Linked DNA regions of Bombyx mori. The protein of the gene in region 1 interacts with the protein of each later gene in a pairwise test. Links are inferred from orthologs where the notes say so. Each region holds a gene or a part of one and is shown on either strand. Other genes may lie near its edges.

What was found.
Region 2: the proteins of leucine-zipper-like transcriptional regulator 1 (region 1) and gamma-tubulin complex component 4 interact in binary tests that used the Homo sapiens proteins (3 or more experiments, as listed by UniProt). The link is inferred for Bombyx mori from reciprocal best matches to the Homo sapiens genes LZTR1 and TUBGCP4.

The regions. Positions count from the first base shown.
Region 1 is NC_085122.1:8,838,696-8,842,521, forward strand, and holds part of leucine-zipper-like transcriptional regulator 1, read right to left. Parts: coding exon 3,726-3,826; intron 3,524-3,725; coding exon 3,360-3,523; intron 2,123-3,359; coding exon 1,952-2,122; intron 841-1,951; coding exon 699-840; intron 1-698. UniProt on the Homo sapiens protein: Substrate-specific adapter of a BCR (BTB-CUL3-RBX1) E3 ubiquitin-protein ligase complex that mediates ubiquitination of Ras (K-Ras/KRAS, N-Ras/NRAS and H-Ras/HRAS).
Region 2 is NC_085125.1:5,636,429-5,640,500, forward strand, and holds the end of gamma-tubulin complex component 4, read left to right. Parts: intron 1-643; coding exon 644-806; 3' UTR 807-840; intron 841-930; exon of another isoform or gene 931-2,212; intron 2,213-2,303; 3' UTR 2,304-3,447; downstream 3,448-4,072. Other genes in the region: uncharacterized protein LOC101745013, read right to left, coding at 3,494-3,605. UniProt on the Homo sapiens protein: Component of the gamma-tubulin ring complex (gTuRC) which mediates microtubule nucleation.

The DNA.
Region 1 (3,826 bases):
TGCACTCTCTCACCCGACGTCCGATCTCAGCCCGAGTTTAGAACCCAGGCAGAGTAGGAGGGTTCCCGCGGTCATCACTACAACCAGACTCGCGGCGTCACCCCTAGGACGCTCGATCGACGGGTCGGAATATTCAAAGACTCTACGTCGGCCGTCTCGGTACGGCAGCCGGACAGGCCGCTCCAGGCGATGCCGCTGGTGTTCCGGAATACCCAAGTGATCACCTGAGCTCATAGACGTCACAAGGAGCATGTCGCCACCCACTTAAGCTTTGAGACATGAGTTCTAACCACCAGAGTCCGCGGTTCTACGGTATATACGTCCAGCTAACTGCTACTTCAATTTCCCTTCTTTTCTTATATAATCAATAAATTGTAAATGCTTATAAAATTTTAAAAATATACGTTTATATATATATAGGGCGGCGGAATAACGAGAAATGGATATCACTTTATTTTTTTTTTATTTTTTACACAAAAAACAACAACATAATCACTTTTACATCTATCACCAAACACACTAATCTCCTTTTTTTCTGACTACCTACTAATTTTGAATGCCAATCTACAATTTTGGGTTGCCAGAATTTAAATTAAATTAAATTCTAAAAAAATACTCCACACGGCCGTCCTGGTTAATCATCTGACCCAGATGAATAATTTTCTTCAAACAAATGTTAAAAAGTGAGTTCGCTGTACCTGAAATCGAAACAGTTCTCCGCTCCTAACGTTGTTATCAACAGTGCCACCGAAGATGTACAAGGCGTCGCCCACGACAGCGCCCGCGTGGAACAGTCGCCCTGATGGTACTTGCGAATCGGGAGCCGGATTTACAACTGACCTGGTAATGTATTCAGTTATATTTACTAACGAAGAAATAGAGGTCACGGACTGCTATGGATATATCAATGCGGGACCACGTCACTGGACATCACTGTTAAAATTATCATTGCAACCGCAGCGTGCGTAAGACCAACAGTGCCAAATTTAAAACAAAGGTAATTTCTTGGAACCTGTAGCAGTGAGATGGTGATAGACATTGAAATAATTTTATGACTAATTGGTTCCCTGTCTGTGGAACCGTAAATTACTCATTAATTGAAGTAATTTACGTGAAAATGACTGATATTACTGAGATGCCTTAGATTGATTATGATATTTCAAGCGGTATTCAGCATCGGAATTGATTGTTAGTAAATATAAATTGACTTCCAAAATATTGGGGTCTTCAAGGTACAGCTTTGATCGCAAGTGGAGTACAAGTGTCACATCTGAATCTTTCGTTTTTTTTATTATTTAAGTATGGTAATTATTTTTTGCAATACCATTGTTGCCAGTTTCGAGTTTAAAAAATCTTCAATGATTAAATACATACATATTCTGTTATATGAAAAATTATATGAAGAGAAATGTTAGAAAATGAAATAAAGTCTGGTTGTTTACTGAGGCTTTTTCAGTGAACTTTTTTGGTGAACTCGAGAAGCTGTAGCCAAGAGGTTTGTTTCATTTTTACAGATACTAAATTTTATTACATATTTAAACCTGAAAACATACTCAAAATTAACACACGAATTAACATTCGACCCAACTTCACTCCTTGCGTTCCCGCCAAAGAGTCCATCTGAATTTTTAAAAGATATGCAAAGGTTTGTCTATTGCCTGGCATATAATTTAACACGTTGACTGCCATGTAGGTCACCGGTGTCCTACGCAGCCCACTAAAGTAATGTCGATTTTTGTTACTAAAGCGCCTGGATTGCCTAACTTTGCCTCCTTTTGTTTGTTAATGTATCTTCGGATTTGTCTCTCATAGAGTCTACTAGATATTCCAGTGCCTTGGTAAGAAGATCCAAGAGGGAAATCGACTTAATTACTTCACTTGACTACATGGCAGTAAATGTGTTAATCAGCAAATACAATCGTTGTTCTGATACAATACGGATGGGACTTACCAAATCTGCGTATCGAGATCGTAACAGTGCAAATCGGCGGGCAACGTGTTATCGGCTGCCCCCCCAAACACGTACAGATGTCGCCCGTGCGCCGCCATTACGTGCCCGTAGCGCCGCGCCGGGGCCGGCCCCGCACACCTCAGCAGATGCTCCGTACACACCCTGGTCCAACTAAAAAATCGTACAAATTTTATTAGCAGCAAAGACACGTGCGTAATGTTGAATAGACTTCGAATGAAAAAAGTTTTTTTTTGGCTTAGATGGTTGGACGGGCTGTGAGCTGGTGTTAAGTGGTTACTGGAACCCATAGACATCTACAACGTAAATGCGCCACCCACCTTGAGATATAAGTTCTAAGGTCTCAAGTATAGTTACAACGGCTGCCCCGCCCTTCAAACCGAAACGCATTACTGCTTCACGGCAGAAATAGGCAGGGTGGTGGTACCTACCCGCGCGGACTCACAAGAGGTCCTACCACCAGTCAGAATTATTGGTTTTCTTAATCCGTATGGACACATTGGTGTCAACGATTGGTGGGTTTGGCCATTAGTTAACAAATGCTTTGTTAATGACGTTCGTAATAACTTTCATGGTATTGGGATTTAAGCAACTTTTTATCTGTGTAGACTTATAAAAAAAAAAAAGGATTGTAGGTGCTCAAAGGTCCAAGTCATTCTTTTAAGCTGGCCTTAGTATTTGAGTTGCTACTATTAGACAGAATACGTTCACTTTTATATCAGTACAATCAACAGTCAAAGTTTACTGACAAGTAGTGCCATAGTGTTTTTAGTCGGACTTCATCAAATTTGAAAAAAATATTGCATTATGATACGGGGTCACAGCTTATATGGGCTACTGAAGTCATTAAGCATCACAACGTGGAAGCTGCTACCCAACTTGAAAAAGGGGTCTAAGTCTCAATTATATTACGTAACGGCGGTCCCGCCTGAAAAACCAGAATGTATCATTGCTTATAATATGCAATATGGCACATCACCAACCACTAAACTATTATAGTATTATAGTTTTTGCCCGCGACTCCGTCAGCGTGGAATAGTTACTTTGGCATAATGCTAAATTTTACCCCCTACTTCATTTGCGTAGAAAGTGAAAATATTTTTGAATTATAGAATGTTAAGGAGCTATTTAAACCGCTATTTTGAAACATTATATATTGGTGCTCCACTTGTATTGGTCTTACCGTGATGTTATATAGCCTATAGCCTTCCTCAATAAATGGGCTATCTAACACTGAAATAATTTATCAAATCGGATCAGTTGTTCCTGAGATTTGCACGTTCAAACAAACAAACAAACTCTTCAGCTTTATAATATTAGTATAGATATAGTGTTATTAAAATACTATGGGCTATGTAATAAAAAAAATTGCATTTTAAATTTAACTTACATGCGACTTTCAAAGTCGAATTGGAAAAGGGCATTGGTAATCTTAGCACCACTTTGTCCGCTGAATACAAACATCTTCCCTCGAGCAACAGCCACAGGAAAGTTGCAACATGTAGGAGGGCATTCACCTTTCTGTTCTACTTTTTCCCATTGATGAGTTTCTCCCTAGACATGAATCAACTGTGAATACATTCAACCAATCATTTGCATCATTGAACATTGCCATAGAAATTCATGATTTGAATTTCCAAATTTTTATATTCTTTTGTTATTATTATAATAGCTTTCCCGACCTTCTGTTGTATCATTTCAAATAATGATGATCACAAACATATTTTAGGCAACATTCAAAAAGTATATTACATACCACTAAATCGATAGTCCACATGTCGTTAAGACGGGCATTCCCATCATAACCTGCAAAGATCCACAGCTTGTCATCATACACAGCAGCTCCGTGTGCTGATC
Region 2 (4,072 bases), on another chromosome or scaffold:
TAGTGTGCTGTTATATAGCCTTCCTCGATAAATGGGCTATCTAAAACTGAAAGAATTTTTCAAATCGAACCAGTAGTTCCCGAGATTAGCACGTTCAAATAAACAAACTCTTCAGCTTTATAATATTAGTATAGATTAGATTAGAATAGTGTACATAGACAAAATTGAAGAAAAAAAGGCATGCATGTATTTTGTCCACAGTAAAATTTCAGTGTGCATTTCACAACAATTCAAAACAATTCTTCCTGTTTTTGCCACGTAACCGTCATGCGCTCCGATTCGAAGGGTGGGACATGCGCTATACATTTGAGGCTTCGACCTCATGCCTTAGGACGGGTGGCGACCTTCAAGTCCTAATTTGTCGACGTCCAGATAACCAGGAGACAGAGTTCGTTCTGGCCCCAACGGCCATCCGTTCTACGAGCAATGTGTCCTGCCCACTGCCACTTCAATTTCGCAATCCTTTGGCCTATGTCGGTTACCATGGTTTTCCAGCAAATCTCCTCATTTCTGATTTGATCCGGGGAAATTCCGAGCATAGAGCCCTCTCCATTGCTCTTTGGGTGACCTTGAGCCTTCTCATAGGGCCTATTGTGAGCGACCACGTCTCAGTGCCGCGATCCTTAATTAATATACTTTCTAGGTTCAACAAATTAGTGAAGCAACTAATGCAACTTCTAGTTTCGCTACGAGATCGTCCGTGCGGCGTTTACTTAGCGAGACTTCTGATGAGACTCGACTACAACCGGTGGCTCAGTAGAGAGGCGCAGTTAACGCAATCTGTAACGAACATGTTAAGATACTGATGAGGGTTTACTCACCACTCTCAACATCGGAACGGTAAGTTTAGTTGGATTCGTTTGCAGTTTTTCGTTAACTCTTTACCTCTTAGAGCTTTTTTTAAACTCATTCGTGCTTCACTTGTTTTAGCAGGAGTTAAGAAAACTTAGTGTTTTATTATAAAGAAAACAAGGTGAGGTTAATACAGTATCTATTTCGCATGTCACGGTGAGCATTTCTTTATAAGTGAGAAATCGGTTTACCTATCAAACGAAAGAGTAGAGGTTTTTTTACATAAGGGTTTATCTCCAATATTCCACAAAGATGACTCCCGGTAGCGTATTCCCATTTCCGTGTTCACTATGAGACAGTACTGCCATGAAAGACGCACGGGTTTATCGCGCTAACCGCCCTGACAAATCCGTGTTCAATTTAAAGCGCCCGTCCTGAAGGATTCGTAATTACGTGTTTAGGTATGGTAATGGTAAACAGTCGACGTCGCTCTAAACACGTCATTACGGATCCTCCCGACCCATTAACGGTGCTTTTAGGTACATACTACAAGCACCGGTCAACGTCCTCGCCGAACCCGTCGCTTGCGACGAACGGAGAGCCCTTCGTTGCAAGTACGAGTAAATTAACCCATAGACACATGCCACTGAGTTTCTCGCCGGATCTTCTCAGTGAGTCGCGTTTCCGATCCGGTAGTAGATTCTGCGAGGCACTGCTCTTGCTACCACTTCGATAAAGCGGCACGACACGAGAACCCTCTCATCGTGGCCGCCGGTAACTACATTCCCGATCCTGCGGAGAGAATGGAAAGCAGTCAACGTCGCCCCAAGCACGTCATCTCGGATCCTCCCGATCCACTAACGGTGCTTTTAGGTACCTCAAGCACCGGTCATCGTTCTTGTGGAACCCGTCGCTTGCGAAGAAGGGCTCGACGAGTAAATTAACCCTCAGACACAGCCCACCGAGTTTCTCGCCGGATCTTCTCGTGGGTCGAATGGGTCGCGTTTCCGATCCGGTGGTAGATTGAGCGAAGCACGGCTCTTGCTAGGGTTCGTGTTAGCAACGTCGTCAGGTTTGAGCCCCGTGAGCTCACCTACTAGTTAAGGTTACGCTGGAATAGCCTCTCAAGGCTACCAGCTTACGTAGGAAAAAAAAAAACTCTTGCTAGGGCCAGTGTTAGCAACACTCCGGTTTGAGCACCGTGAGCTCACCTACGCGTCAAGGAGAAGCTGAAATAGCCTCTCAAGGCTATCAGCATAGTTAGAAGAAAAAAAAAACAATTGCGCACGGGTTTACAAGGAGTATGCGCATTGATTAAGCGAGACAAATCCGTGTTTGTTTGAAGGAATTTTAATTAATGGGCAAGTTTGGTATTGTATTGTAGGCAATCAACGTAAGTAGTAACATAAACAAAAATAAAGAAGTCATTTTATAAAATATTTTTTTTTAGCAGGAGGCTCATTATCAATATTACGAGTAGATACAATATTATGAACACCTTTTCTTTTCAGTTTCTGACTTGGCTGGTCGTTCTCGAATCGAATTTTTCCACTGCATAGCAGATCTCTTTCTTTGCGGCGAGCGATCGATTTTGGTTGTACATGAATTTTTCGAGATTTTCATCGAAAAAATTTTCAACTACAAATGACATAATACTCGATGGAGTAAGAATAAGTAAGAGTTGTAAGAATGTTTGTATATGCAGCATTTGAATCATTTTCCAAGATATCAGTAATTCTTTGCCACTGAACTTTAATATTTTGAACAGCACAGTCAAAGTTTTCATTGTTGATAGTTATACCGTTTTCAGCTCGATTTATTGGAAGTTCAAAAGTATCTGGTATAGCAACATTTGGTGTAATGGAGCTATCTGGATCTGAGTCAGAGTTGGCTGTATTCATTATTTGTGCTTGGTTCAGCCGTAATATCTTTAAGGAATGACAGTGAAAACTGGTCACCCAGAGCTGATTTCGCAAATTGTTGACGATCATAGTCATTTAAATGTAGCGATGCGGTACCTAAGTACAGTTTCATGTTTCCTTTCTACAGCGCAAATATGTTTAAAAAATCGACCCCCAGCACCATACAGACAGATCAGTTTTCTCTTTCACAAAGTAGGTATTGTCATACGCGAACTTCATGGCTTAGTCCCGTGTCGCCTTGAACACGTGTTTAGAAGAGCATTTGGCATTGCAAACCTGTGCGCGATTGGAGGAGGCGCACTCTGAATTTAACAAGAGTTTGTAAAGGCTGTTAGCGCGACAAATCAGTGCGTGTTTATGGCAGTACTGCGTCATAGTGAACACGGAAATGGAAACACGCCTCCCGGTAGTAGGAGGGTTAAATTTTCATGTGATACGGTTTTTGGAGAATCCGTTATTAACAAGCTTTATGATATTTATTAGATTGTAGAAATTCGAATGATTTTATAGAGTATTATGCTTTTGACTCATTAACATTTTGATATCTGAATTAATTTCTAAAGAGAATGAACCCATATTTTTAAGTTTCAACTTAAAATAATTGCGTAAGTATCAGATGTTTAGTTTTATAATGGATTGAATTCTTACACCTTATTGTCACCATGTGTATTTATGTAATGAATGCCAAATGTATTATAAATTAATGATTTTAAAATAAAACTTGTAACATACATGATTCTGATTTCATTTTATTTAATTTATAAAAAACAGATTGATGTTTAATGGGACTCCATGAATGCTTTAATCAGTATGCATTTAGTCATGTGACATGAGCATGGTTGTGGGTGATCGACAGCTTCTGGATCCAGTAATGTCATCTGTAAATTGTATCTGAAAGAAAAAATGTAAATTAATAGTATCACCATGATTTGATTCTTTTTTTTTAAATTTTTTTTTATTGCCTTTGTAGGCAGACGAGCATACGGCCCACCTGATGGTGAGTGGTTACCGTCGCCCATGGACTTTAGCAATGCCAAGGTCAGAGCCAAGCCGCTGCCTACCGCTTAATACTCTCCACAAGCCTCGTTTGAAGAAGGACATGTCATAGCGCTCGGGAAACACCGTGGAGGGGAGCTCATTCCATAGCCGGATGGTACGTGGCAAAAAGATCTCTGGAAACGCACTGTGGATGACCGCAGTGGCTCCAGGTAGTATGGATGAACTCTACTCCGGTGGCGGGCGGTGCGATGGTAAAAAAAATCTTATTTAAAATTACGCTATTACATTTAGTTTGTTTTAATTTATTTTCAATATCGTTTTTATAAGTCATAATGAAAACAATTTGCATTTTTTCATCA